7 linked regions of the Coturnix japonica genome follow. The main gene of each other region encodes a partner of the protein of the gene in region 7 in a complex. Links are inferred from orthologs where the notes say so. Each region holds a gene or a part of one and is shown on either strand. Other genes may lie near its edges. The genes, in order: TAF5, TAF13, TAF1D, GTF2B, GTF2H3, TAF11 and TBP.

Region 1 (3,500 bases), on a different chromosome or scaffold from region 7:
CCACCATACAGTCTACAGACACAAGCTGTGTGGTTTTAGTATTTATTATACTATCAAAAGTATAAAACTGTACAAAATAAAAAGGCAGAATGCAGCAGTGTTTTCTTCAAGCTCTCAAAGCTGTACATGCTTTTAGGTAACTTGTTTGATTCACTACCATTTTAAGTCCAGCTGATCGTATTGACTACTAGGAAGTTCTGATGTACCTTTACAGATCAAATCCATCATAGTTTAGTTTTAACCATTTCTCTTTAAAGAATGTTTCTGGATTAGCTTCCTTATGAATTTTCCACCTTTCCTTTGACATTTAATGCCCCGATGCCTCTTTACTCCAAGGCTTAGTCAGAAAAAGGATGAGACAGGAGGTAGTTCTTTGTTTACCTTGGAAACGTCAAGTCTTGGTTTTCTGCATCTTCAGTAGAGAGCCAGCAGATTTCTTTTTCTTGAATTCAGATTTCAGTTTCTTGATCCTTCACTAGCTTTAGTGTGATCTGTTAAACTGTTTTCTCAAAGGATGCAGGTTTTTGAAGCTCTTCAAATCTAATAGAACGTGTGGGGGCTTAAGAATATTGTTTTTAAGATTGGGTGATGCGTGTCTCCAAAGAATTCACATTGCAATCTGCGTTCCTTATCGCACAGCAGCAGCTTCTTGTCAGAACAGAATAACAAGATCTCCATTTCTAATACCTCAAAAGAGCACAAAGTTTGAAATCTTTTCAGGACTTGGTACTTAAAAACTACACGTAACTTCTCTGCAGTTCCCCACAAGCCTCTGCCTGTTGGGCTTATTCTTTCAATGCCCTATTTGTTGCTATAATATTCTCACCATTCCTGTTGCCCAGCCCAGGCTATAGTGAGTTAAACTACATTCTCCTTTTCTGAGTCTGAAGTTTTCACCTGTGTTTGAGACTGATTAAACATTAGCAAACCATATATTAAGTGCTTTAAAAAAACTCATTTGAGAACACAGACCAGGGCTGTTAACTTTCCAGAAGTTTCAGCAGAGCTCAATACCATCTCTGAGAGGAGACAGCCATTGTCATATATATACATGTATGTATGTATATATATACATATGGATACATTTATCAAAAGCACCATGAAACAATTCCTTTAAATTCACACTGTCTTGTCAGTCTCCAGCATTTTCAAACTGTGAGAGCAAAAGATGTGAATTACGAGAGCAGAATAGAGAAGATGTCACTTGAGTTAGTTTACAGTTTTGTTTTTCCTGCAATGGACTAACAAAGTCCACCCATACAAGACATTCCTCTTCATCTCACATTCTGAGGTCACTGCTGCAACAACTTGGCACAGCCAGTCTTACGTCTTCCTGATCTACTGTGAACTGTAGGCTCCTGCAGCCAGCAGCAAGTTCCTGCGTGTAAAATGAAGGTGTACAACTGGAGTTGATTTGGTCATGTATGTACCCAGTAACAAGTCCTGGGAGTTTTCAGGCAAGTTTATGTGTCCAGTGGCTGTAGTAAAGTCATCCGTTTCTAAGTCTTCAAATGCTTTCACTGCATCCCACAGCCGAACTGTGTTATCCATTGAACCTACAAGGGAAAAAAGGAAAGTAACATTTAAAAGTCTTTTCCTTGCTAGACAGCAAATTAACACAACAGGAATTAAAACTCACAAAGCAGAACAGCTCATAACTGAATACTAAGCACTCATCCTGCAACGAAGCATTTTTAAACAAGCCTTTAACACAGTGAAAGCAGGAATAAAAGCCATCACCTGCCATCTAACAGGAATGCACTGCAGATAAAGTGCCAAGAAGCACCTCTGAGAACAGCTGGGTTTCCATTCTATCAGCCAGCACTTGAAAAGGCAAAACAACCTTAGGCCTACATGCCAACTCCACCAGATGTTTATGATTCTAAGTCACATAATGACTTTTTTCTTGACACTTGGATACTTCCTTTGATAGAGGGAAGAGCTCAGTATTTTGCAGGCCCAGTGGACTCTGCTTTCATTGGAGCACTGGTCAGCTGAAGGAACCATTCACTCTTGTGGTAGCGGCTCACTCAGGATTTAGTGATTCTAATTAGCCTTACTCAGCTTAAGGTACATTATCATTACATAATCCCACTTCAAACAGATGGAGCACAATGGAAACATGTTTGCTTCCAGTGACTTTTACCTGATGCTAAGATCTCCCCATCTCTACTGAATCGGAGCGCATAGATAGTGTCAGTGTGCCCTTTCAGTTCTCCAACCATCAAACCATGTCCAATATCCCACAGCAGAACTCTGCCATCTGTTGCTCCAGTAGCCAGGAATCGTCCATTAGGAGAAAATGCCAATGAATGAATCGGACCCTACAAAAGACATTTGCAGTGAGGAAAGCCAAACGAGCTAATTAGTCAATCTGCACTTGTTCTGAATGCTACTCTTCAGAATCACACCACAGAAATTAAGTCACATTGGTGATGTGCCTTTACCTTATGTCCAGTGAATATTCTTACACAATTCCCATTTAAAACATCCCACAGCCGTACAGTCCTGTCTGCTGAGCCAGTGGCAATATAGTTGGAGTTAGGGTGAAATCGAGTACACGTCACATCAGCAAGGTGGCCAGCAAATATCCGTAAAGGCTGGTAATGATCTGTTGCCCACAGTCTGAAAAGAAAAGCTTTGTTAATAAAGGGAGCACTAATGAAGTTCAGAATCTGTTGCACGGTAATAAAAGAAATAATTAATGAGTGGCTTCTTACTGGTAAATTTGTTGAATTAGAAGGATCGATTCTGGAAAACTATGCTTTTGGGAAGGGAGAAATAAAGGACATTCTGTCATGGTTATTAAACAACAGGAGAAAATATTTCTAACATGAAATGACCACATAGGAGGATGATGTCTCTGATGTGTGTTGAAAAGGAAAACAAACATATATTAAAATAGTTGCTTAGTATTTTAATTCGTGTGTAATAAAATTTATTTCCAGTAATAGGTTATTAACTATATCAGCCAATAATCACTTTCTGAGTTAATTCACCACAAAACTGGTATGTAGAAAACTCATCTAATTTCTTACCTAGCCACTCTGTCATGTCCCCCCGACACAAAATAATACCCATAAGGAGAGAACTGCGTATCCCATACTGGATAGTTGTGTCCTTTATATCCCACCAGACAAGTGAATGTTTGGAGGCTCCACAATCTGACAGTACCATCCTCAGAACAGGACAACAGGTAGTTCCTGTCACAGGAGAAAGTATAGTACATTACATACCAAGTTAACAGACTGTGTAGTCATTGCATAAGCTCTGTAACAATTCTATGATACATAGAACTCTCCACTGGGCAGCTACTATTTAGTATTTCCCATTAAAATCAGCATTTTACTGAAGTAAACAACAATAAACTGTTCGGGAAGAACTGAACCCTTGGTTGTCAAGCATAAGAGACATTTGAATGTTGATGATTAATTCTGATGACACAGCAATACAGAGGGGCTGCAAAAAAGAACTAGTCTTCACTTAAGAATTACATTCAC
Region 2 (3,991 bases), on a different chromosome or scaffold from region 7:
GGCAATGTGTAGCTATTCCAGCACATACTTATTCCTTGCTCTAACATTATTTCACAAGCTTAGTGCTTTCCATCGAGCTCTTATTTGTAATTACCCGGTGATCCTAATCTTGTGAAAAAAGTTCTTTGAATTAAGTCAGATCAGTTTTATAGTGGAGCATCTGCCCAACAGGGGCAAGGCAAGGATCTGAGTGCAACTAAATCTGGAACAGGTTAATTTCAGTTCTCTAAGTGTACAGTAAAAACAGGAGAGCTGTGTCTACTAGGACAGAAACAGCACTTAGAGCTCATGAGATGCTACAATAGCCAACAATTTTTATGTGCCCTGCGTTAACTGATCAGTGTACGTGTAGTTACGAAGAGTGGGCACAGACTCGAGTTGCTTTATTCAAGTTTATGTACAGAGCAGAATTTGTAATAGTTTGGGCTTGACAACTTTGTCCAGTTAACCAACATCTATTTTCCAGGTTTCCTGTCAACAAAATACCTCGACATAACCAAAGTAGAGAAGAGCTTGTCATGGGCCTTGTAGATTCCCAATTCAGCTGTCCTACTGCAGACTTCTCACCTTTAAAATATCTTTAGAGCTCATTTCTCAAATTCCCATAATGGTATAAAAACACGTTAGGAGCGCCATGTGTAATCAGTTAACATCTAGCTGTTTGAATGCCTACCACAAGAGGCTGAGAGGCAGAGCAGATAGCAGCAATGATCTCCAGCTCAAATAACCCCTCAAAGCAACACACATGACATTTCTTCCTCTTGAGCAACAGGAGCCCACAGCACGCTCCAGTCAAGCCTGTACACAGAATCAAGATCCATAGTTTGCTTCATCAAAGGCCTTTCTGGCACGTTTCAGTTCTTCATTCATAGTCAGAAGGTCTTTAACTCTGGCAAACTTCCGGGGGTCCTTGCGGATTAGGAAGACAATGTCCTCAACCTGTACACGGCCCTGCCGTCCAATTGACATGGCTTTGTGTGTCTGCAAGAGAGAAACATCAGTGTTCCTCTGCCCCTTTTAGTTTTGTTTTCAGATCTCAATCCTACTGTATTTACTGACATTTTAAACAGTCTAGAAGGCAGCAAGTGCAGGATCTGGGCATTGCCATCCAAGTGCAGTACCTCATATACACTGGGTACCACTGCACACACAACAGGAATGTCTTTGGAACTGAAGGCAGACTGGGGAGGGGACACCTGATCTGCAAAGTGCTTGAGGAGCAACAGCATCAAGCAGAATCTGCATGCAGTATGCAATACCTGCATCAGAGGACAGTTTTTTTCTATTGAGAATAGGCAAGGCTAACTTCTCATGAGAAGGGATCCACAAACAATACCACTTTTCTTATTCTTTTTTTTTAACATAAGTGCTCAAGTTGTATCCAAATGTCTGGATCAGCAGTGGCTTTAGGGCCCAGATGGCTGCATTTATTTTATGGTGTGGCATTTCCATCTGTGTAAAGGCACTGAGAGAACACAAGAAGCACATAACATTTCAAAGCTGAGCCATCTGTCAGCAGAACACACAGCGATGCCACTGGGTGCCTCAAAGTCAGCTATGGATTTTTTCCCCTAACTGTTACTTAAAGCCTCCGAACGTTGCCCTAAATCCATGTGGAGTAAAATGTGTTAATTCTATCTTAATATCGGAAGGGCAATCACAGAATCACAGAATGACCCGGGTTGGAAGAGACCTCAAGGATCATGTAGTTCCAACCCGCCTGCCTGGCAGGGCCACCAAACATACACCTTTACTAGATCAGGTTGCCCAGGGCCCCATCCAACCTGGCCTTGAACACCTCCAAGGACGGGGCATCCACAAGCTCCCTGGGCAGCCTGTTCCAGGGCCTAACCACTCTCCTAGTGAAGAACTTCCCCCTAACATCCAACCTCTTATATCTGAGTTTAGATTTCTTCCCAGCAGCACACGAGTTTTTGCCTGGGATAATGCTGAAGGAATTTCATTGAAGCAGAGGGAGCCAAAGCATGCTCCCTACACCAGGTTGCACAGGTAGGAGTCCGAGTGGGTCTTGAACAGCTCCAGGGAAAGAGACTCCATAATCACTCTGGGCAGCCTGTTCCAGTGCTCCGTCACCCTCTCCATGTAGAAGCTCCTGCACACATTTGTGTGGCTCCATGCTCCAGTTTGTGGCCATTTCCCCTTGTCATATTGCCACATGCCGCTGAAAAGAGTCTGGCCTCATCCCTTTGCCTCCCACACCTTAGATATTCACAGACATTGATCAGATCCCCTCTCAGTCTTCTTTTCTCAAGGCTAACAGACCCGTGTTTGGCACACCACTGACTTACCATTTCAGTGATAAATTCTATCACCAGGTCCTCAAGAATATCCACAGATTCCGTGTAAGGGTTCTGGTCATCTCCAAATCCGTACATCATGCATCTTACTGCGGGAATACACACAGCGTGAGGCCTCCATCTGCTCAATGCATCAGTAACGCTCCCACCCTGAGCTCCCCCCCCAACCTGGACTCACGTTCTTTAGAGAAAAGCCTCTTCCTCTTGCCCTGCCCGCCGTCCAAACCGCCGCCGGCTTCCTCGGAGTCCTCCTCGAACTGAAGGAACAAAGCGGAGGAAGGAAGCCGTTAAACGGGGAGCTCCCTCCCGCCCCGAGGCTGAACGCAAACAACCCATCCCCGCCGCTCACCGGCGCGTCCTCCTCCTCGTCCGCCATGGCCGCCACAGCCCGCTACCGCTTCCGGTTTCCCGTTCCCGCCTCCCCTGGGGGCCGCCATCTTGTTGTGCCGTGTCTATAGCACCCAGGCTGTTTCCCACCCCTCACTCATCTAGTGTGAGAAATGCCTTGGGAACTTAGGCTATTCAAAAGATTTTTTCCTTAGGAAGACGAAGGAGAGGAAGAAAAAGGTGCAGCTGAGGTACAGGCACTGGAGAAACAAAACTTTACTGGACAGCAGAGTCAAGAAGAATCTATGGAGCACTTGCTTAATTCGATTTTATTTATTGCCACATCTGTCACAGAGCTTCCAAATCTTGCACATAACAAACTGAGGCCTTGAAGATAACAGCTTGGACTACACTGATGCTTTTGAAAGACACTGGTTTTAAGATACAAACACACAATTATTCCCAAAACATTGACTTGAGTGTTTTCCACCTCTCTAGATCCTACTGTATTTATTTCTAGAATCAGACACTCACAGGCCAGTTTGCTTTGGTGCATTTTGGGATTAGAAGCAAAACGGTAGCATGACATGCTTGATCTCTGCTTACATGTAGAAACTGGAGATCCACATCTCCCTGCTGGTTTCTTCATCCTGCCACTTCCTACATATCTGCTGGAAACAAACTTCAAGCCTAATCTGAGAGTTACAGGACATTCCTTAACGTAACAAACAGTAGAAACACCACCTTCAAGCCTCAGAGTGGGTTATGAAAGAATCACTTTTCCTTGAGATATAAACATTTAATGTAAGTTAACCTCAGCAACTGTATACGCAGAATTGGCAGTCTTAAGACAGGACAAGATGTGTGCCAGAGTGTGACACAGGCACTTTATTAGCTTTGGTCTAAATTGCTGTGTACAACTACTGCTATTTAATGGCAGTCCTTTTTGTACATTCTGTACCAGATGTGGTTTCCCTTTGACCTTAGCCAGGTACAGTGGCTGCAGGACCTCTGTGTTGTGCTTCAGCTCCCAGGGCAGGACAGATGTAGGTAATGGACCCATCTCTGGTAACTGAGCTGAGCGCAGCTGCAGAACTCACGTGGGATTTAAAACAGAAGGTTCATGCAACACTGAGTGATGATCAAGTGCAGGAGGAGAGAGTTCTGCTAGGTGTTGTTCATTCATCACCACTGTTTCAAGCCAACAGCCAACCAGGAGGCAGATCCCATAAAGTAGGTTTCCTTTTCCACATCTGCCCGTAACAGGGACAACCAGATGTAGACAAGCAAGGCATGCCATGCTATCACGCTGAACCTACGGAATGCACAATGCAGAGGAGTTACAA
Region 3 (4,251 bases), on a different chromosome or scaffold from region 7:
ATGAGCAGGACTCCACACCCACCTCACTGCATTACCCTGCCAGAACCCCACTCCTACATCTAGTCTGAGCAACCGCAACAAGTTCCCATTCATGCTACAAGATCAGCAGATAGTCCCTGTTGTGCTGAAGGGCTTCTATCTCTGCTCAGTCACCTTCGTAAGACCCCACTCTGGACTGAGGAGGGGAAGAAGGGAATAGAACTTTTCATCACACTGCTAGTTGTTTTAAAGCAGCTTGAGATTATGATATTGGATTTAGGAGAATTAGTTTATTCTACACTGCTTAATTACAAGAGCTGGAACTCTTAGTCCTGTAGCTCTGTGACCTGCTGGTTCCACAAGCCAGGCTGCGGAAGGTGCTATTTCAGCAGGATCACTTAGCAGCAGCATTCTTCTTCAATCACTCCAGCTGACTTTGCTCGCTTTGTTTTGGCCTTTGATTTCTTCTTCTTGTTGGGAATTTTGCTGCTTATAATGAAACAGCTTTTGTCCTGAGAACAAAAAAAAACAGCATTCTCAAGTCTGGTTTGGAGACACTTGAAGTACCAATTTATTACTAACTTCCTTTAGGAAGTTTTATGGACGCTTCAGAGAACTGCCCAATTTCCGCACATCCCAACATAATTCCAAAGAGCTCAGACTTCTCTCAAACCAATTTCCTCTTGTACTACACACCAAAACCACACAAACTGGTTAATTCCAGATCCAAGCTCAAGAATTAAGTACTCAAAGCATCATCTGTTACTTATTTAACACCTCAAAAGAGAAAACAGGTTATAGTTTTCAAATTATGGATGTTTACTCACCACTACTCTGACATCAAAGTCTTCTGGATTATCAGAGCCCAAGCAGTTATCATCGTCATTGCTGAAAGGCAGGAAATTCAAATCAAATCTGTACTTCTACAGTAGCGCAGCATAAACAAGCTGTTCTCCTAATGCAGCACCACTTCCTCATAATGCATATGGAAACGCTACAGCTTACAGGTCTGGGATGCTCCCACTTCTACATGAGGCTACACTGAGAGCCTGTGGAACAAGATCCTTATCTAAAGCCATGAGCTGTTACTTATTTTCTCTCTCTGCTCTTTTAAGGATGAGGAGAGAGCACACAACACAGCAGTGCTAAGCCAACAGAATCCATTACTGAGTTACAGAAAAATCCAAGAGGTATTTCACCAATTAATATAATGCACGTGCCAGACAATAAAGACAGCAATGCTGAACACACAGACTTTAAGTTGAGAACAAAACAGCAACTTTTATACTACTGAAAATGAACTTACTTTGTCTCCTGGATAGGAGAAATGGGGCCTTTGTCATCTAAATATTTATGTTTCCGCGCTGTCAGACATTCCCTTTCTAAGTCTTCATTTGCTTCAAGGGATTTCAAAGCCTTTTTGAGGTGTTCTTCAGCTTTAAGCATTTCAACATACTGGAAATATCCCTTCGCAGCTGCTTGCTGCAAAAAAAAGGAATAGATCTTAAATACAAACAAAGAAATGAACCATTTATATAATCAACCAGACTGTAACATTAAATGACAGCCTTAGGTCAGCTGGTTCTCTCCCACAAAACACAGGGCTCACCTCATAGCTAAGAACCATATTTACGGGAATATGTTTCCTCCCATAATGTTTTTCAACAAAAGGGAACTGAAAGCCTGGATCCCGAAGCCTTCTCCTTCGCTCCTGAGGCGGGGCTGTCATGGGCCGATTCCCACCACGCTTCTTTGGGGGTTCCGAGCGTCTCTTTGTCTTCCGTGAAACACCGCTCCTGTATCTTCGGTGCGCAGCAGTTTTAAACTTCCTTCCTCTGAAGTGATAGGCAAAAATGGCTTTCAAATCGAGCTTGGATTTCCTCCTTTGGGAGGGTTCAGGTGGCCTCACCGGGCTCTCAGGGAGCAAAGAGTCAGGACTTTCACCATCAGACACTCGTGCATCAGCTCCTGCTTGTTTCCTTGAAGGCTGCGATCTCCTCTTTTGCTCCGCAGAGGGAGCAGTGCATTTCCTAGAGCGTTTGCTGCCCCGAGCAGCTGAAACATCACTGAAAAAGAAACGTGTACATTCAACAGAGCACATACGTTTATGAGTCTTGTTCGTAAGTGATTCTAAGGAACCAGGTAACTCACATTTCTGAATCGCTGCTATCCACCTCAGATGAAGATGTATTTGTACTACTAGTCTCATCTGAAGACTCCTCAGGAGTGGCGTCCTTCTGCCTCGAGCACAAACGTCTCTTCCTTGCATTCACTGCACGCTCAGGTATTTTAGATCTTTTTCGCCTCTGAGTGGATACGAGACTCTGAGCATCAGGATCATCAGAACAAGAGGTGTGGGATTCATCTGTATCACTCATGTTTTAATCTGCCCTGAAAGAAATTAAATATGTTTTACCCCAGGCAAAGCTTTTCACATCCAAGGAACGTATGTGTCTCCCTCACAGTAGCCCCCTCCCGCCCACCATCCCGGGGCGGACATTTTGCGCGGTTCCCGCCGCTCTACCACAGCCCCGGGCCGCCATGAGGAGCCCATTTCCCACATCCCACCCGCCCCAGGGCCTTCCTTGCGCTCCGTCTAGGAATCGCTCAGCGACAGGATGTGCTTTGATTCTACCCCAGCCTCACAGCGGGTCCTCACACGGCGGATGGCAGCGGATTCAGCGCACCGCCATCACCAACCCAACACTCACCTCACGCTTCACCTCCGGAAAGGGCGCGCAATGGCCGCCCCCGAGCTTAAATAGCGCTCGGCTCTCGCGAGAGCAGGACGGGGCGGGGAGTGCCGTGAGGGGGGCGGGGATGGGCGGCCGCAGGTTGTGGGCATTGGCTGCGGTTCCCGCTCGCTGTGGGTCTCCAGAGGGTGGCTCCTGCAGGTTTGGCTCCGGGACTCTTTTTAGACTCTTTTTACCCTCGTTTACGTGGCCTGAATTTCCCTTCTCGCTTCTCTGCTGAGTTCATCTGCACGTTGGCGCTGTCCCTGTTGGCTCTGTGGCTCTGGCTGTGCTTCCTTCTCCCCCCAGCCCCCCGCTATGAAGCGTTTCTATCCAGCCATTAACTTCTCCTTTCCGTTTTCTGCCCTTTCCTGCTTGGAAAAGAAAAGCCGCAGTGTCTCGACGTGTCGGTTGTTTCCTGCCATCCCGTTTGCAGCGTTCCTGTGACAGCTTCCTTCACAGAAGGGAGAATCGCCCATAGAAGCGGACGAGCCCCCAGCTAAGATGGAAATCACTCTACATAGACAGCTTGCTTTCTTGCTCTATTGCTTGTTACAGGCAGAACTTGAGGTAGCTGAACTTTGAGCTCAAAGTCTCGCTTTTTCTTCCATGAAAGGTTCCTATTTTGTTACGTGCAGCAGGCGTGTGCCTAAGGAGTTAATGATTTCTGGGGCTGGTTTATAGGTAGCATGTAACCAGCTGCTTGTGCCTGGAGCTGCTGGTTTGCCCTCGTAGCAGGTTATGCTGTTGCATGACTGAAATATAGCTCGTTTCAAAAGAAGCTCCAACATTTCTGTTCTGAACAAAGCTTGCTGTGAAAGGCTCTGAGCTGATATAGAGTCCAGTGCTGTACAACTTGCTGCTGCTTTGGTGCCTTTGTTTGGCTTTGAGATGCACTACAACCTTCTTCCACTTTGGAAACACGTGCCTATAAGAAACTGGGAGCCAAGGTTGAAAGTCCATCATAGCCAATGCTGGAAAAGTAAACATTAAGGTAGTGAAGACCGGGTAAGGCAGTTATTGTGCTTAGAAAAGCGTGGCTTTGGGTTTACAAAGGACAGATAACTGACCTGTCCCTTGAATTAGGTTCAGCGTATTACATATTTTGTCTGTACTGAGATGGAAGTTTGAGGACTAACAGATGTAATGCTCTGAAGCAGCTGCAGAGCTGGTAGGCACACCTGCTTCCAAAGCACATAGAATCATAAAATCACCAAGGTTAGAAAAGACCTGAAAGATTATTCAGTACAACCATCCACATATTACTAATAGCTGCCACTAAACCACTAATAGCTGCCACTAAACCATGAGAAAACACTAATCTTGAAGCTGTCAGTTTTTCCCTCAATGGTATAATAACAATTCTACTGTTATCTATGTATTCTCGGGTGAATTTGACAGATAAATTGCATATTGAAAGCAGTGTGTTTTTAATTACTAAACCATTATCTTTGTTGACAGATCAGTCACTTCTGCAGTGTGTTACACTGTAATTTCTAACCTGAAGAAATCAGAACCAAGCAGGCAATGGCCAAGGTAG
Region 4 (3,500 bases), on a different chromosome or scaffold from region 7:
GACATAGCTGTATCACAAAACTTCAAGCCAAACATACACTGAATACTTTCTTCTGGAATACTTACACCATAGAAGGATTCTATACTTAGTGTTTCCACATAATATTCACTGAGAGAGCAGGCACAACACGCATGCAGCTCTCCACGTCTCCAATATTAATCTGATCTAGACATTATTACAAAAAAGCTGGTTCATGTTGCAAATCAAGGAGTGGCAACTAACCCAGCAACACTGCAAACTTTCGTCTTGTCACAAAGTTCAGTCCTTTCCTGCTGTCAGCCAGAAACAGACACATTTTACAGATTACTGAAATGCAAGAGTTCAAGTTTTGACTAAATCTCTTTGTAAATGCATTCTCTGAATAGTTTCCCTATGGACACACAAATACGTAGCAGACACAAAAACGTTCAAGCTTAGTAACATTTAATATTTCATATTTTACCTTTCCAATCATTGTACTCAGGTCACCGTCACTCAACAAAGGATTCTGGGTATCCCCAACTCGAGATGGGTCTTTTGTTGCTTTATCATTGCTGAAAGTTCTCCACTCCGACCCTACATCTATGACACGATCACCTGTGGTTACAGAAAGCAACAGTTTGTATCAACATAACATTTGGAAACAGCTTCTGAAACATGGTTACACAGCCCAGGTCTCAGTTATAAAATGCAGGCTGTTACCAAGTGCCAGCAGGATGTAACTGCAGGTCAACACACCAAAATTATTAGGTTTTTCAATCTAAGTAGAAAGCAATAACAGGAGCTGCGGAGAAAGTTTAAATAAACATACCCAGAAAACAGAATTGTGGCCATCCTTAAAGAATATCACAGGTTATTCAATACACAAAGGAGCTCACAGTTGTCCAGTGAACATTGTCAGTGACAAACAAACAAGTAAGTTACCTTTGACACTTGACAGAAGTACTCCTGAATTAGCTATCAAGCATTATCTCATCAAGCAGTAGCACATCACTTTTGTGAATGAGCTCCAGGCTCAGAAACGAACCTTCTAAACCACCATGACAACATTCTGCAGCTCTGTTTTGTTCCTGACCCTTAAGAAAAAGGCTTTTCTTGGGAGTCCTCTCAAATTCACCTAAATGTTTCCAGCAGCATCTATTCAAACTGAGAAATATCTCTAACCCACATAAATACAGGCAAAAAAAATCTGGAGTAATCACAATGATTCAAATAATGATTGAAAAAAGAGTTCTGCTTGTAGTGCAGCTCATTCTATTCACAGGGCTGGTAAAAGCAGCACCTCAAAGGTGTTGTCTCCAGAGCAATACCACAGAGTTTTTAGGAACATGTAGAGAAAAGCATCAAGAAAAAAAAGCATTACAGTTCTGTGCAGAATATCAGAACCAGTTCAATCGTCACTTCTGCTTTGCTAAACCTGAGGGAAAATTCATTATCTTTATCAAAGTTTAAGTGTTGTGAAGGCAACATTCACCAAAATAAATAGTACTGACAGCAAGAAAGATTGCTGGCACAGAAGTCCAAGTATGAAACAAGAGAGGCAAGTTTAACCTAGTAAAAATGTAAGCAGACAGACAAAAGTACTCCCTAGCAAACAATGATAACATGCAATTTGAATCTCGAAAAAAAAATACAGGAGCAACACACAGAGTGTCACTGCAAAATTACTTGTGGAAAAGAATCTGAATGGGGAACTTCACTCTTAACACACGATGATGCAAGGAATGTGCCTGAAACTGAAAGGTGTAAATGAATCCAAGAAATCAGGCCAACCTAAAAAGAATACATTTAAGACAGAAGTAATCTCACTAGTATTCATCCGACATGCTCATAGCTATGCTCCCCGTTCATTTAATGCTCTAATGAAAACTGAGGTAGCAGAGGTGGAAGTAACAAAAGTTAGAAGACTAAGAACACCACAAAGTAAAAGAGAGCACAGATCTATTCTTCCTGCTAGAGGCTCATGTCTTGTGAGCCTTCATTAGCAGACAGCATGCTCCTCTGGCTCCTGGACTCTCTGTAAATATTTGATTCAGTAATGCACCTTCTATGGTCTAGCAGTGACTTTACTTTAAGACAACCCCCCAGTACTGTTTACAGCATCTAAAAAAAGCAAAATGTACTTAAAATTCTGGCATGGTATAAATAGAACACTGAACACAGGGCAATGATGTAATATTTTTTCCACACAAGTAGGAATGACCTCAATGACTCACTCACGGATCTGCCTCTTGTGAGTTATGAACCATTCCTGCTCTAACAAAAAAGTGTTATATCACTGCCTGCTTTGGCAAACATTACAAACAGAGAATTGAGTCTGCTATTTCAGAGTGAGAAAGGATTAAGTAGAACAAATCTTTGAATATAAAGCATTTGTGGAATTAAGATGCAGTGTGTAAACACCTTCGTGTTGCCAAGAAATCTGCTATTGCAAGAAAACAGCTTTCCTGGATATTCTTTACTTACAGACATTCAAGGAATCACATTCCACCTTGCAAAAGCCTTGCATAGAAGCCTGACACAAGCTAGAAATAACAACAAAACTGGAACAAATAGGCCAAATGTTTCCATAGATGGAAAATATTCAACTACAAGCAGCTAATTATCCTGTCCCACACACAAAAGAAAGCATGACACTAAGTACTCTTTTAACCTTTAAAAACATAAAAACCACTTTGGAACTGTTGCCTTGGTATGTATGTAATAAAGCCCCACATGTAAGTGACAGAAACAAAACCTTAAACACCAAGGTCAGTTTTACAAGAGCAGTGCAACACAACAGCACTCAGAGAATCAGCTTTGAAGACTGGTTGCTAATTTCAAGCTCTGAAACGCATTTCCTGGCTCATACCCTACTGATGTGCTCTCCTAAATCACCAGGAAAATGCACCTGAGTGGCAAACAGCAGAGTAACAAAAGCTCCCAAAAAGTACTATCTAAAACCTTCAGAACAGAAGACCTCAGACCAGTTACTTTTCTAACCTAATTTATCTAAGCAAGTGCTCCAGAAATGTAGGAGTAAACTCAGCTCAGTATAAAAAATTAAAATGCAATTTTCAACAGTTTTTAGTAATTAGCTTAGCACGTCTATTAAACACTAATACTGCATGTTTATTTCACCCCAAAAATAGAAAGCAGTTTATCAAAGGAACACACTCCTACTTGACAAGTTCTGCATTCACAATTACATATTTTCGGAGAAATAATAGCAGCTACTTTAGCAGCACATCCTCTTGAAATACTCATGATACATGAGCCCCTTATTCTCTATTTGCATTTTTATTATCTCTTATATTAAAAATACATATATGTTTATATATATATACACACACACACATATATATACACACACACAGCTGTGAACTGAGGAGGTTTAATCAAAACAAATAGCATGGAATTCAAGCCTCAAATAACATTATCTTTCATATTCAGTCCTGAAGCATTTTCAAGATGATGTGGCTTAAATCATTGTAAGAGGAGCCGTAATGGTAGATGTACACCGAATCAAGCTCTGCATATGA
Region 5 (3,932 bases), on a different chromosome or scaffold from region 7:
GACACAAGCATCAATCAAAATACTCTGCAAGTAAAGAGACCCACAAAAAAAGGAGTTCAGCTAGGAACAATGTAACCTCATCCATGTTTTACAGCTGCAGGACCACCACAGCAATAAGAAAGCTCATTCCCTTTGTCAGAACAAACATCCAGAATTCTAACACCTCCCTTCTAATGTATGGCAATAAAAGAACTATCAGCAAAGGTATCCTGTACACAGCACCTGCAAGGCGGGACAGAAGGCTACCATCCGTTCTTTCACAGCAATCTCTTATTAGTCCAGCAAACCCTTCACGTTAAGATGTAGCAGTAGGATCTGACTTTTAACCTCGGTTACCTTTCACTCTTGGCATGACAGTCTTCACTCCAGGGATTCTTTAACCAGATCACAGCCATAATGTAAATGAACCATTTTTTTTCACTCTTTATATGCTAATAAAAGATAAGATATATCAAATAGCTTCACCTGTTTCTGTGCTGCAAAGATCACGTTCATGAAATTCATATATTGTAATGCACTGTCTTCTGCAGCTTTTATGACCTAAATAAAACAATAGAGACTTGTTAGCCCATATAGCATTGATGTATTTTAAGGCTAATAGTAGACTAACAACAAAGCTCTTACCAAAATCCTTGATTTCATTTCCTGATTGGCTGATTAGCAAAAAGAAAATAAAAGCACATGAGTACATCCATTCCCTATAGTTGTCCCTACAGTTCTACGATACCTGACATTTTAACTAAGGTAAATCCAATCAATCTAACATCCAAAATGACAGATCTAATGTCTCAGACAATGTGAATGTAAATACTGATAGTCCCAGTGGTATAGAAATACATGTAGAATTATCTGTAGAATAATTCAGACGTTACGAAAGCGGGCCTATGTCATTTATTGCCCCAAAGCAATTAGGTATATTAGGTATATAGGTTCAAATACTCGTGAAAGCACTCTAAAGGCATTACCTTTCACCTCTTTGCTCATCTTGTTAATATCTACATCAGACAACATCAAGGAATCCACACTCTGTTCATGGAAGCACCAGCAGCACCCATGCTATGTACTCACTACCTCAAACAACACACGTTGTTTGATCCACAATTATAAGGCAAATGTTTCAGTTTTGAAAATTATTATAGAATGCACTGATAGTCAAGACTGTATTGAAGGATAATTAGTATGACAAGAAACAGACAAAAGCCTTTAAAAGTTCTGCCATCAAAAGGATACAACAAAGTGCTTTGGCAAGAGACCCTGCTAGGAGAGTCTCTGTTTGCTGGCCCATCATGTCAGCTGCAAAGCAAATTACACAGATTACTCTGATACACAAAATCATTCACTCAGCCTGATCTCACTGAGTGCTACAGTTCAATCTTCGCCATGTTGAATCACTGCAGAGTCACCCAATATCAGCCATAAAAACTCACCTACTCTAAACATATTAAAATCCAAATGAACCAAAGAAATTCCTGCAACTCCCAGAGAACATTTTGCAGTTCTGTGTTATGAAACCCAGAATTTTTATTCCCTTACTTTTCGTCATGAGGTCTTTAATCTCTTCTGCAATTGCATCATTGATTGCAGTTAACAATTCATATTTTCCATCCTTGCTGCCAGAACAATTGGATTCCACGGAGTTACCACCATCTCCAAGGAGATCCGCAGAAGCCCAACGCTTCCCAGGGTACAAGAAACGGCTAAAAGAGAGGAAGAACAAAGTGTTACGGTTTGCTTTTCAGCCTGTAAGGAAGAAATGACATCAGCTGACCACTCATAGACAGCGATATTTTGAAGTAAAACTCCAAATAACTTTAATACTTCAGGCATTAAATAGGGTTCATAAGGCAGGAAATTGTTGTGACACAAATGGTTCACCTCCCTCCTTTCAATACGTTGATGCATTGACTCTGTCTTGCTTTCCATAAGGCATTAAAACAGACCATTTCTTTCTCTACCAGGAGGCAGGGAGTGGACAACACGTCACACTCATGGTGGTGAGCGGCTGCCGTACCTTTCCTGCGTGTGACTGGCCATCACGGCCAGTTTGTTGGTGCGGCTCATGAACAGGTGGGAGTTCCCCAGCACCATCGCTGCGTCCACACATTTCGACAGGGTGAACTGCCAAGGGAAAGAATAATTCAGCAGGACAGCACCTACAGGAACCAACCGCAGAACTGCACTCAGAACTAGAAGGTGCAGGGCTTCCTTTCTAACGGGAGGCATCAGCTGAGCAAAGCTCTGACAAATGCATAACTGTAGAACCAGAGAATCATTTGGAAGGGACCTTTAAAGGTCATGCAGTCCTATTGCCTGCAGTGCTCAGGGACACCCACAGCTCCATCAGTGCTCACAGCCCCATCCCCTGGCTGTGGGTGTCTGCAGGGATGAGGCACCTCCACCTCCCCGTGCACCCTGTGCCGGTTTGATGATACTTTTCACGTTTCCCACCGATGTTTCCTATAAAAGCGGCCCCGGGACGCACCTCAGCCTCCCCCTGCGCCCGCTTCCCCCACCAGATGGGGTTGGTGTCGATGACGATGACCAGCAGGCTCAGCTCCTCGTCTGCAAAACACACAGCGGGTCACTGCAGGGGGCCGGGAGCTGCCGGAGCCGCGGGGGCTGAGCTGAGCTGAGCTGAGCTGAGCTGGACTCGGCCCGGTTCATCCCCCCCCCGTCCCGACCCCCTCGGCCGGCTCCTCTCACCCGCTCCCATCCCGCCGCTGGTGTCGCCCGCTGGTGTCGTCATACCGCACATCATCGCATTGCGCCGCATGGCACCGAGCAGGGCGGGGGCAGCCATGAGCACGGACGGTAATGTGTCTCTATGGAGGGTGTTGTGGGGGCCGGGCTGAGCCGAGTGTGAGGCGGCTCTTTGCCTTTCAGACCTGATCGAGACCTTCAGGGCGCAGCTGAGGGATGACCCCGACGTCGCCTCGGCGGTGGCCGCCATCCGCGCGCTGCTGGGCTTCCTGCGGCAGGACCGAGGTGGGCGCCCATCCCCGGCGGCCGGACACGAAGCGATGTTGGCCCGGCCCCGATTGATCCCCCGCTGTGCCCTGTCTCCATAGGAGAGACCATCCAGGGCCTGCGGAGCAGCCTGCGCGATGCCATCGACACGCTGTCGCGGGTGGACTCGTCCGTGGCCGTCAACTCCGGCGGGGAGCTGTTCCTGCGCTTCATCAGCCTCACGTCGCTCGAGTACTCGGTAAGGAGCGGGCTCCTGCCGGCCCATCTGCTGCAGGGCAGCCGGCAGCAGCGCTGTGTCCTTTCCAGGACTACTCCAAGTGCAAAGAAATCATGATCGAGCGCGGGGAGATCTTCCTCAGGAAGGTTTCTCTGTCCAGGAACAAAATCGCCAAACTGTGTCATCCCTTCATCAGAGACGGAGCTGTAAGTACAACAAGGAGCTGTAAGTACAACAAGGGCTGCTCGTGTCCTGGCTCTGCTGCCTGCGCTGCTGGGAAAGCAGGGGGGTGGTGTTATTATTCCTGCCCATCTCACAGCGTGGCATCCTCTCCTAAAATCTGTAAATACGAGCAACATCATAGAATTATGGAGTCATTTCAGTTGGAAGAGACTCTTATACCTCATGTAGTCCCACTGCCTGCAGTGCTCAGGGACACCCACAGCTCCATCAGTGCTCACAGCCCCACCCCCTGACCATGGCTGTCTGCAGGGATGGGGCACCTCCACCTCTCTGGGCACCCTGTGCCAGTGCTTCACTACCATCATAACTAACTTCTTCCTTGTAACCCATCTAAATTGTCCCTCTTTTAGTTTGAGACCATAACACCAATGGACACTGACAGAAGTAAAAGCCCTGTTCATCCTAACTGAAATGAAGGTTTTAAAGCTCAGTAAGAAGTAACATTTAATCTCTTTTGACAGAGGATATTGACACACGCCTACTCACGAGTGGTCCTCAGGGTGCT
Region 6 (3,944 bases), on a different chromosome or scaffold from region 7:
CTCCATCCCACACCATGCCATGGGAGCTCGGACAGCCCCTGTCCCACAGCCCTCCCACCCATACATTCCACCCAAGCACAGATTCCAACCCACAGCATCCCCTGTACCACAATCCCTTCCTCACCCCAAGCACACCAACAGCCAGTCTCAGAAGCCCCAAAATCCCAGCTCATCATTACAAACCCACTATCCCCACACATCTTGTGTCCTCAACAACGCACCCCTATCAACCCCACAACCCCTACACCCACACCTCACCTCAAGCAGCACAGTCCAAGTCTCCCAGCACCCCAACTTCAAGTCCACACACCTTCAATCCTTCTCCACAGCCCTACAGCACCCCAACCCCATGCACCCCACAGCTCCTATAAATCAATGCTCACCTTGAGAGCCTACAAACTTCACACACTGCATCCCCCACAGCCCTACTCTCCCCTCAGCTTTCACCCACAGCTCCCAGCCCCAAACTACCCCCTGTGGGGGGCTCCTACCCCACAGCCCTCACCCCACAACCTTCCCCATCCTCCTCACCCCACAGCCTCAGCCCTGTACCCACCTCTAACCACAGCTCCCCAGCTCCATGGGCCCACCCCTCATAGCCCCCATCCCCCTCATTGCCCCCCACTCACCTCAGCAGACTGGACAGCGGGTGTCCCACTCCTCCACCTCCTCCTCCACCTCCTCCACCGCCGCTTCCACCACCTCCACCGCCCCCGGATCCTCCTCCGCTCCCTCCTCCGCTTCCCCCGGAGCCGAACCCTGAGCTCAGCCGTTTTCCCGACAGCAGTTTCTCCACAGCGGGCAGGTTCCCGGTTCGTGCGGCCTCCAGCAGCTCCTGCTCCTTCCCCATGGCCCGGCCCGGCCAACGCCGCCGCCTCCCGCCAGGCCCCGCCCCGGAAGAACGCTGAGGGGGCGTGGCCTGAGGCCGAGTGGGCGGGGCCTGAGGGGCCGTTTGTTCTCTATTGTGGGCGCGGCCTAATAAGTGGGCCTGGTCTGCTGTAGGCCCCGCCCCTGGTGGATCTATATTCTCATCCCATTTCTCTTCATTATCAAATGGAACTGATACAAAATGACGCGTAGAGCCCGTCAGCACGGCTATAGATGGGGTGGATCCCACCCTGCTGTGCCGGGTCCACACGCAGCTCACAGCTCTGTAGGCCGCACGGCGCTCAGCCCCGTCGCCATAACGACAGCAGCGCCCCCTGTCGGCCACCGTAGCGTGACGTCATCACCAGGCGACCGTAGAGACGAGGCGTAATGGCGGATCCCGGTGAGCCGGGCCGGGAGGAGCGGGGGGGCGGCACCGAGCGGGAACCGGCACCGACCGCTACATCACCACACGGCGGGGATGGGACCATGGAGGAACCGACGGCCACGGACGGGGTTATAGAGGGGGACATGGAGGCTGGAGCCGGCCAGGAGCTCAAGGCGGAGGCGGCGGATGGGGAGGTGAGGGCTCAGCACCGGGTCGGCCGGGAGATGAGGAGAGAACGGGGCCGGTCCATAACGGTGTGTTGTATCGTAGGGGAGGAGCGGGGACGGGATGGACGGGGAGGATCCGAACCTGCAACAGGCGGCAAAGAAGGTGAAGGTGGAACTGAAGGAGAGGAAGGAGAAGAAGCACAAAGTGGACGAGGATGAGATCCAGAAGATGCAGTGAGTGCTGGGGAATGGGCTGCGCTGCAGGGCGGGGTTAATGGCCATGAGCAGCATCAGCATCGTTTGTGGTTCAGCTCTGTGAGTGATTCGTCCTCTCCCTTCCAGGATCCTGGTCTCCTCCTTTTCCGAGGAGCAGCTGAATCGCTACGAGATGTATCGCCGCTCTGCCTTCCCCAAGGCTGCCATCAAACGGGTACGACTTCAGTTCGTGCTTCAGCACAAAGCAAACGGCTCAGCCTGGCCACAATACCCCCCCCCCAACCTCCCCTCCCCAACATGGCTGTGGGGGGACAGCGATGCAAAATAATTGCTAGCACTGATCTGTAGCTGAATCAAACTAATCTCAAATTGTTACAGCTACCATGTGCCCAAAGCTATAGGAGCTCATTCCAAAGCTCTGTTACTGTTGTTTCTGCTCATTTTGTTCACTGGTGCTCAGTATTTGGCTCCAATCACTAAATATAATTTGAAGTGTTTCAGTGTTGCTGCATGTACCTCATTTGACTGACTGCCTGTTCTTTGCTTGTGCAGCTGATCCAGTCCATCACGGGCACCTCTGTCTCTCAGAATGTGGTTATTGCCATGTCTGGCATTTCCAAGGTCTTCGTTGGGGAAGTGGTGGAGGAAGGTGAGCAAATCACATTATTGTTCAGTAAAAAGTTAAGGACACAGAGAGCACATCGCTTAAAGCAGAGAGACATGAAACAAAGCTGGACTTTTGTGGCTTCTTGTCCAGGTGTGCAGCCTGGACAGTGCCCTGCAGGGCCCTCCTGCTTTCAGCAGCAGCAGAAGACAACTGTTAAAACTTGGGACTTCTTGCCCCTACATGAGCAGGCTGCAGTGCTACAGCAAAGATCTCATTAATGCTACTGTGGACAAATTCAGCTTAGAAGGGAAATGCGTTATTTAAGCCTCTTAGCCTGCAAGATTCTTTGTTAATGCAGTGAGCTGAGATCTCCTTGGGATAGACTGTGCAGCGCTGACCCAGTTGTGTCCCTGCTCATGCAGAGGAGGAAAAGATTCTTGTTTTTTGTGCCAGCCACTTAGTACAGGCTTGTCACACAAAACACACAGCCTGGACTTGCAGGGGTTGCCATCAGCCAGGATGATGCAGCTTTTGGCACTTCTGCTGCTTTGACTGTGTCTGCAGCTCTGTGTTGCCAGAGGCAGTCTGGATAAGCAGCTTCTCTGCTGTACTTATTGCTTCGTGTCCTTGGCAGGAGATCTGAATTATACTTAACAGAAGTGAAGCACAGGAACTGCCCTTTAAGTCAGCTGTAGGTGGTTCCTTCCTCCTATCCCTGCTGCACACAAGTCCCCAAACATACTTCACAAGCTAGAAGTGGTTTTAAAGTAGCAGGTTTAAGATGATGAGGCCTTTTCAAGCTCTTGCATGACTTAGTCTATTCCATAGCAGCTGGGACGTGGTTACAAAGCAGCTGATTCTGAGCTGGTATTGATGCCTCAAGGACTAGTTTTTCTTCAGAGAAACACCCAAAGCTGTTTCATCCCTTTGTACAGATAAAACATGAGCTTTGAACACTGTTACCTGTTGACTTTATAATTGAAGTTCAACCAGTGGGAGGCTTTTCAAATGTCTCCTGCTGGGAGAATGGCAGAGCTGAGCTGTCCTTGTTCACGTCAACTCTTGTCCTTTGTTTAGCACTGGATGTGTGTGAGAAGTGGGGGGAGCTGCCACCTCTGCAGCCCAAACACATGCGGGAGGCTGTGAGGAGGCTCAAGTCACGAGGACAGATCCCGAATTCCAAATATAAAAAGATCATCTTCCACTGAAGTGTCCTGGGATCAGCAAAGAGAAGACAAGTTCAAACAAGCTTTGGTTGTGCACCATATGACAGTTATGAGACAGAAGCATTCCCCTCTCCCGCTTGCAGTCTTCTCCAAGGAAGCTGTACCAAAGCAAGCTCAATTCAACGTGGATTTCAGTAACTTCAAGCATCGAGGTCTTATGTGGATTGCTTTCAGTTTACAAAACTACCATGAGTGTTCTCAGCACGGCTCATGGGGCAGAAGGACAGGGAGAAATGCTGCAGCAGAACCTGCAGTTGCTCCCATTAAACTCCCTGCCAGCAGCAGCACATTGTGTGCAGACATTCATGTAGGCATCCACGGGGATGTTTCCTGCAGTAACTGCTGAAGGCCAGTTTGTCAGCTTAGTGCTGTGCAGGCTCAAGGAGGAGGCAGATCCTTGGCCTGGTGCCTCAGGGTCCTCAGATCCAGCAGCCTGGGAAAGGAACATGCAACGTCCTCAAGTGTATTTACCC
Region 7 (3,252 bases):
GTTTCCTGGAATAGCACAAACCATCCTGTCACTACAGCACAGCTTGGCTGATTGGAATGAAAACTATATGATATAGTGTGTAAAGTCTTCCTGCCATAGTTAACAGTTCTGCAGATGCTACAGCAGCACAGATGGCGATACAGATGAACACTGGACCAGCTTACCCACATACTGCATCACTGCTGTGTGCTGTATCTTGTTTAATTATGTAGCCCTGCCCAGGTAAGTACATCAACTTCCTGCTAAGATCATTTAAACCAGTTATTGAAAGACCTGCTAATAGCGGTGCATAGCGTGCACCACTACAGCAATAATCAAAGATTAAGAATTAATAAGTTCACTCAGGATTTGCATATGGTGCGGTAGCAAAGCCAGCCATAACTACTTATCTGGAATGAAACATCATTTTAATTAAGAGACCATGGTTACATTTGGGTTAGTTTTAGATAAAAGCTGTTTGAAAGAATGTGCAAGTCATAAAAAGGCTATTACTGGAAATGTACTGGAGAAAAAAAAGTTTATTCTTAGTTCTCAGCCCATTAAGCTTCAAGCACACTTCAAAGGGGAGATTATGTACACACTGACTCCAGTTGGAAGGGCTTTGACATTTTATATGAACACTAATATAGTGAGACTGTCATAGTTGGTAAAATACAAAAGTGATTTATAAGAAATCTTAGAAGCTAACCAAGAATCCTTTGTTCCAATTCACTCAAGTGTGGCTGTGTAAGACTTGCATAAATCCCATCTGTTGAATGGGAGGCAACACATACTTGAACACAAACTCCTGTAGCCAGTCTTCTCTTTCCTGTTAGTGCACTGGAAGTAATCGGGCTGAATGTTGCCAAGGATATGACTACTGCTAAGCAAGCCAGAGCGTTGTTCAGATTTTCTCCAGATGACAGTAGTGTGTGTGCTAGTCAAAAATCCAGATTAAACTGAAAAGAACCTCTTCATATATTTCACTTTCCCAGCTGTGCAATTGTAAAACTCATTAAGACAGTTCCCATAATTGTATAAACAGGGTTTATTGTACATGTGGAGCTGAAGGAGAAAAGAGGAGGAATATATATATATTATATATATATATATTTATATATATGTACAGTGAGCTGTTTTCATTAATAAATTTATTCTGCCTTGCTTAATACTGGAAAGAGGGAATGTGTCTGGCACCGAAAGGAATTGAAAACTGAAGGAATTTAAAAGCTTAACTTTGGAAATTATAAAAACCATGGTCTTAATGGAAGGAAATTAAAACATATATACATGGCAACTCAAGTGGTTTATACACTGAGTGACACGGTTGCGTTCATCTTTTAAACCAATTTATGAATTTTCTATTAATAGAACTGGCATTAAAACTATTTAAAAGCTAGAATATAAATAAAACTCGGAGGGACTGCCCAAGGAGCAGCCCAACAAAGCAACTCACAGTAACTCAGTAGACATCATCATCGATAAAACAATTCCCCTTGAGTGTCAGGGAAATAGGCACTAACTGGGAAATAGTCCAAGTCTGGTGTTGCAGTTTCACTGAAGTCCATCTCTTGTTACTGCTGTGCCATACGCGATGCCTTTCTAAATGTACCCCCCAATTTCTCTGCAGTATGTAGAAACTGTTACGTTGTCTTCCGGAAACCCTTTAAAATAGGATAGATGTTTTCAAATGCTTCATAGATTTCTGCTCGAACTTTAGCACCTGCAAGAAGAGAGAAAATGACTTAATTCCCTCTCTCTCTTCAGAACCAAACAGTTCTCTATTTCTGCATGTAATTCTTCCTTTAAATAGACATTTCCTATAGAACACACATTATTAGAATAAACAGAAGGGTAATAAATGAAGGCCTGAGAGTTTGTTTCATTACCATCTTCATGCTTATGACATACTTGTAAATGAGATTTTCTAAGCATGTTTTCTCAGTACACTCAACTGCAAAGCGCAGCCCCATAGGATGTTTATGGAGAAAGGCCTCAACAGCAGTTTTATTCAACAGTGCAAATATCTGGGGAAACAAGGAAATGATGACTGAAGCAGAGGCCAGCAGAGGCCATAGTGCAGGTATATGTTCCTTCTTTCATCTGTGGATTCATTTATCAGTGAAGGGGGAAAAGGAAGAAAGAGTATAGGCAGAATCCCCAAGGTTAAGGAAGCCTCAGAGCATGGGTATCTCCCCTTCTTTGGCTGCTGCATCAAAGGGAAATGGCAGCAGCCTCCAACCAAGCTGTTACAACACACTGAGCTCAGTCACGCGCACCCAGTGAACAGAAGCAGACTTATGGATGTTGCTGGGAACGTTAGATAGGCTCTTTTTGGGCACCCGCCATTCTTCATCAGGATTCAAGATGGTTGCTTATATGGTTTAACCAAATACATGTGGTTTGCTCTGTGGGTTCTCATCCACAAAATACTGTGCTGTCTGTTCCTTTCCCAGTACTGTTGTTTCTGAAGAAGAGCAGCTAATAAATTGCATACTTGTGGGAGCACTGTTTCTAATGCAGTCTAAATCTAACCTACTGGAAGAAAATATTGACTTACCAGTTAAAACCACTTTTCCAGAAACAAAAATAAGCAGAACAATTCTTGGCTTGATCATTCTGTAGATTAAGCCAGGAAACAATTCTGGCTCATAGCTGTAAGAGAAGAGTCACAGTGTTTCAACGTGCCAACAGACAAATGTCCTTGCCCTTCATCTGCAGGGCTGCAGAAATGGACAGTGCAGATGTAAACCATTTGGGATGAGTAGCAAAGAATCGCTGCCCAATATCTACCCATGAAAATAACATCAGTTACTCCAGAGGCAGAGCTAGGATAGGAACAAAGATGCTGCATCCTCTCTGGTGTAAGGGAACAATCTAAACAGATGCCGCTCTAAGCTAGTCACAACACAGCAAGAATGAAAGGTAGGCAAACCTTCATTTACCTGCTGAACTGCTGGTGTGTGAGTACCAATCCTTCTAATCTGATAGGAAACTTCACATCACAGCTGCCCACCATGTTCTGAATCTTAAAATCCAAAAATTTCGCAGGAAAACCCAGTTTCTGAACAACTCTTGCGTACTTCCTTGCTGCCAGTCTGGACTGTTCTTCGCTGAAGGGAGAAAAAAAGAGCCAGCTTATTTCCCTTATTAAGCACTACTTCAAGCAAACAGCACCAAGCCACAAATATTTAACTGGGAAAGAAACATTGCGTGTGTTGCAGGAGAGTTGCAAAATGTTTACATCCAAAATGAACAACTACTACTGGTTTG

What was found.
Region 1: TBP (region 7) and TAF5 share a complex: the UniProt entries of both Homo sapiens proteins name them as parts of the TFIID basal transcription factor complex. The link is inferred for Coturnix japonica from reciprocal best matches to the Homo sapiens genes TBP and TAF5.
Region 2: TBP (region 7) and TAF13 share a complex: the UniProt entries of both Homo sapiens proteins name them as parts of the TFIID basal transcription factor complex. The link is inferred for Coturnix japonica from reciprocal best matches to the Homo sapiens genes TBP and TAF13.
Region 3: TBP (region 7) and TAF1D share a complex: the UniProt entries of both Homo sapiens proteins name them as parts of the transcription factor SL1/TIF-IB complex. The link is inferred for Coturnix japonica from reciprocal best matches to the Homo sapiens genes TBP and TAF1D.
Region 4: TBP (region 7) and GTF2B share a complex: the UniProt entries of both Homo sapiens proteins name them as parts of the TFIID-containing RNA polymerase II pre-initiation complex. The link is inferred for Coturnix japonica from reciprocal best matches to the Homo sapiens genes TBP and GTF2B.
Region 5: TBP (region 7) and GTF2H3 share a complex: the UniProt entries of both Homo sapiens proteins name them as parts of the TFIID-containing RNA polymerase II pre-initiation complex. The link is inferred for Coturnix japonica from reciprocal best matches to the Homo sapiens genes TBP and GTF2H3.
Region 6: TBP (region 7) and TAF11 share a complex: the UniProt entries of both Homo sapiens proteins name them as parts of the TFIID basal transcription factor complex. The link is inferred for Coturnix japonica from reciprocal best matches to the Homo sapiens genes TBP and TAF11.

The regions. Positions count from the first base shown.
Region 1 is NC_029521.1:20,669,837-20,673,336, reverse strand, and holds the end of TAF5 (transcription initiation factor TFIID subunit 5), read right to left. Parts: intron 3,204-3,500; coding exon 3,039-3,203; intron 2,626-3,038; coding exon 2,448-2,625; intron 2,325-2,447; coding exon 2,147-2,324; intron 1,557-2,146; coding exon 1,339-1,556; 3' UTR 26-1,338; downstream 1-25. UniProt on the Homo sapiens protein: The TFIID basal transcription factor complex plays a major role in the initiation of RNA polymerase II (Pol II)-dependent transcription.
Region 2 is NC_029516.1:74,709,029-74,713,019, forward strand, and holds TAF13 (transcription initiation factor TFIID subunit 13), read right to left. Parts: upstream 2,801-3,991; 5' UTR 2,695-2,800; coding exon 2,668-2,694; intron 2,576-2,667; coding exon 2,497-2,575; intron 2,408-2,496; coding exon 2,310-2,407; intron 982-2,309; coding exon 811-981; 3' UTR 363-810; downstream 1-362. UniProt on the Homo sapiens protein: The TFIID basal transcription factor complex plays a major role in the initiation of RNA polymerase II (Pol II)-dependent transcription.
Region 3 is NC_029516.1:166,172,789-166,177,039, reverse strand, and holds the start of TAF1D (TATA box-binding protein-associated factor RNA polymerase I subunit D), read right to left. Parts: upstream 2,801-4,251; 5' UTR 2,691-2,800; intron 2,371-2,690; 5' UTR 2,358-2,370; coding exon 2,131-2,357; intron 2,046-2,130; coding exon 1,589-2,045; intron 1,462-1,588; coding exon 1,286-1,461; intron 868-1,285; coding exon 807-867; intron 492-806; coding exon 378-491; 3' UTR 1-377. Other genes in the region: C1H11orf54 (ester hydrolase C11orf54 homolog), read left to right, coding at 4,239-4,251. UniProt on the Homo sapiens protein: Component of the transcription factor SL1/TIF-IB complex, which is involved in the assembly of the PIC (preinitiation complex) during RNA polymerase I-dependent transcription.
Region 4 is NC_029523.1:13,188,906-13,192,405, reverse strand, and holds part of GTF2B (transcription initiation factor IIB), read right to left. Parts: intron 577-3,500; coding exon 443-576; intron 1-442. UniProt on the Homo sapiens protein: General transcription factor that plays a role in transcription initiation by RNA polymerase II (Pol II). Involved in the pre-initiation complex (PIC) formation and Pol II recruitment at promoter DNA.
Region 5 is NC_029530.1:4,203,384-4,207,315, forward strand, and holds the start of GTF2H3 (general transcription factor IIH subunit 3), read right to left. Parts: upstream 2,801-3,932; coding exon 2,704-2,800; intron 2,563-2,703; coding exon 2,483-2,562; intron 2,119-2,482; coding exon 2,012-2,118; intron 1,698-2,011; coding exon 1,534-1,697; intron 1,294-1,533; coding exon 1,231-1,293; intron 996-1,230; coding exon 966-995; intron 654-965; coding exon 625-653; intron 541-624; coding exon 466-540; intron 25-465; coding exon 1-24. Other genes in the region: EIF2B1 (translation initiation factor eIF-2B subunit alpha), read left to right, coding at 2,772-2,811, 2,884-2,985, 3,069-3,205, 3,274-3,390, 3,889-3,932. UniProt on the Homo sapiens protein: Component of the general transcription and DNA repair factor IIH (TFIIH) core complex, which is involved in general and transcription-coupled nucleotide excision repair (NER) of damaged DNA and, when complexed to CAK, in RNA transcription by RNA polymerase II.
Region 6 is NC_029541.1:4,152,968-4,156,911, forward strand, and holds the start of TAF11 (transcription initiation factor TFIID subunit 11), read left to right. Parts: upstream 1-1,144; 5' UTR 1,145-1,257; coding exon 1,258-1,449; intron 1,450-1,525; coding exon 1,526-1,656; intron 1,657-1,764; coding exon 1,765-1,852; intron 1,853-2,190; coding exon 2,191-2,287; intron 2,288-3,322; coding exon 3,323-3,453; 3' UTR 3,454-3,944. Other genes in the region: ANKS1A (ankyrin repeat and SAM domain-containing protein 1A), read right to left, coding at 630-850. UniProt on the Homo sapiens protein: The TFIID basal transcription factor complex plays a major role in the initiation of RNA polymerase II (Pol II)-dependent transcription.
Region 7 is NC_029518.1:36,557,770-36,561,021, forward strand, and holds the end of TBP (TATA-box-binding protein), read right to left. Parts: intron 3,093-3,252; coding exon 2,925-3,092; intron 2,635-2,924; coding exon 2,540-2,634; intron 1,703-2,539; coding exon 1,623-1,702; 3' UTR 501-1,622; downstream 1-500. UniProt on the Homo sapiens protein: The TFIID basal transcription factor complex plays a major role in the initiation of RNA polymerase II (Pol II)-dependent transcription.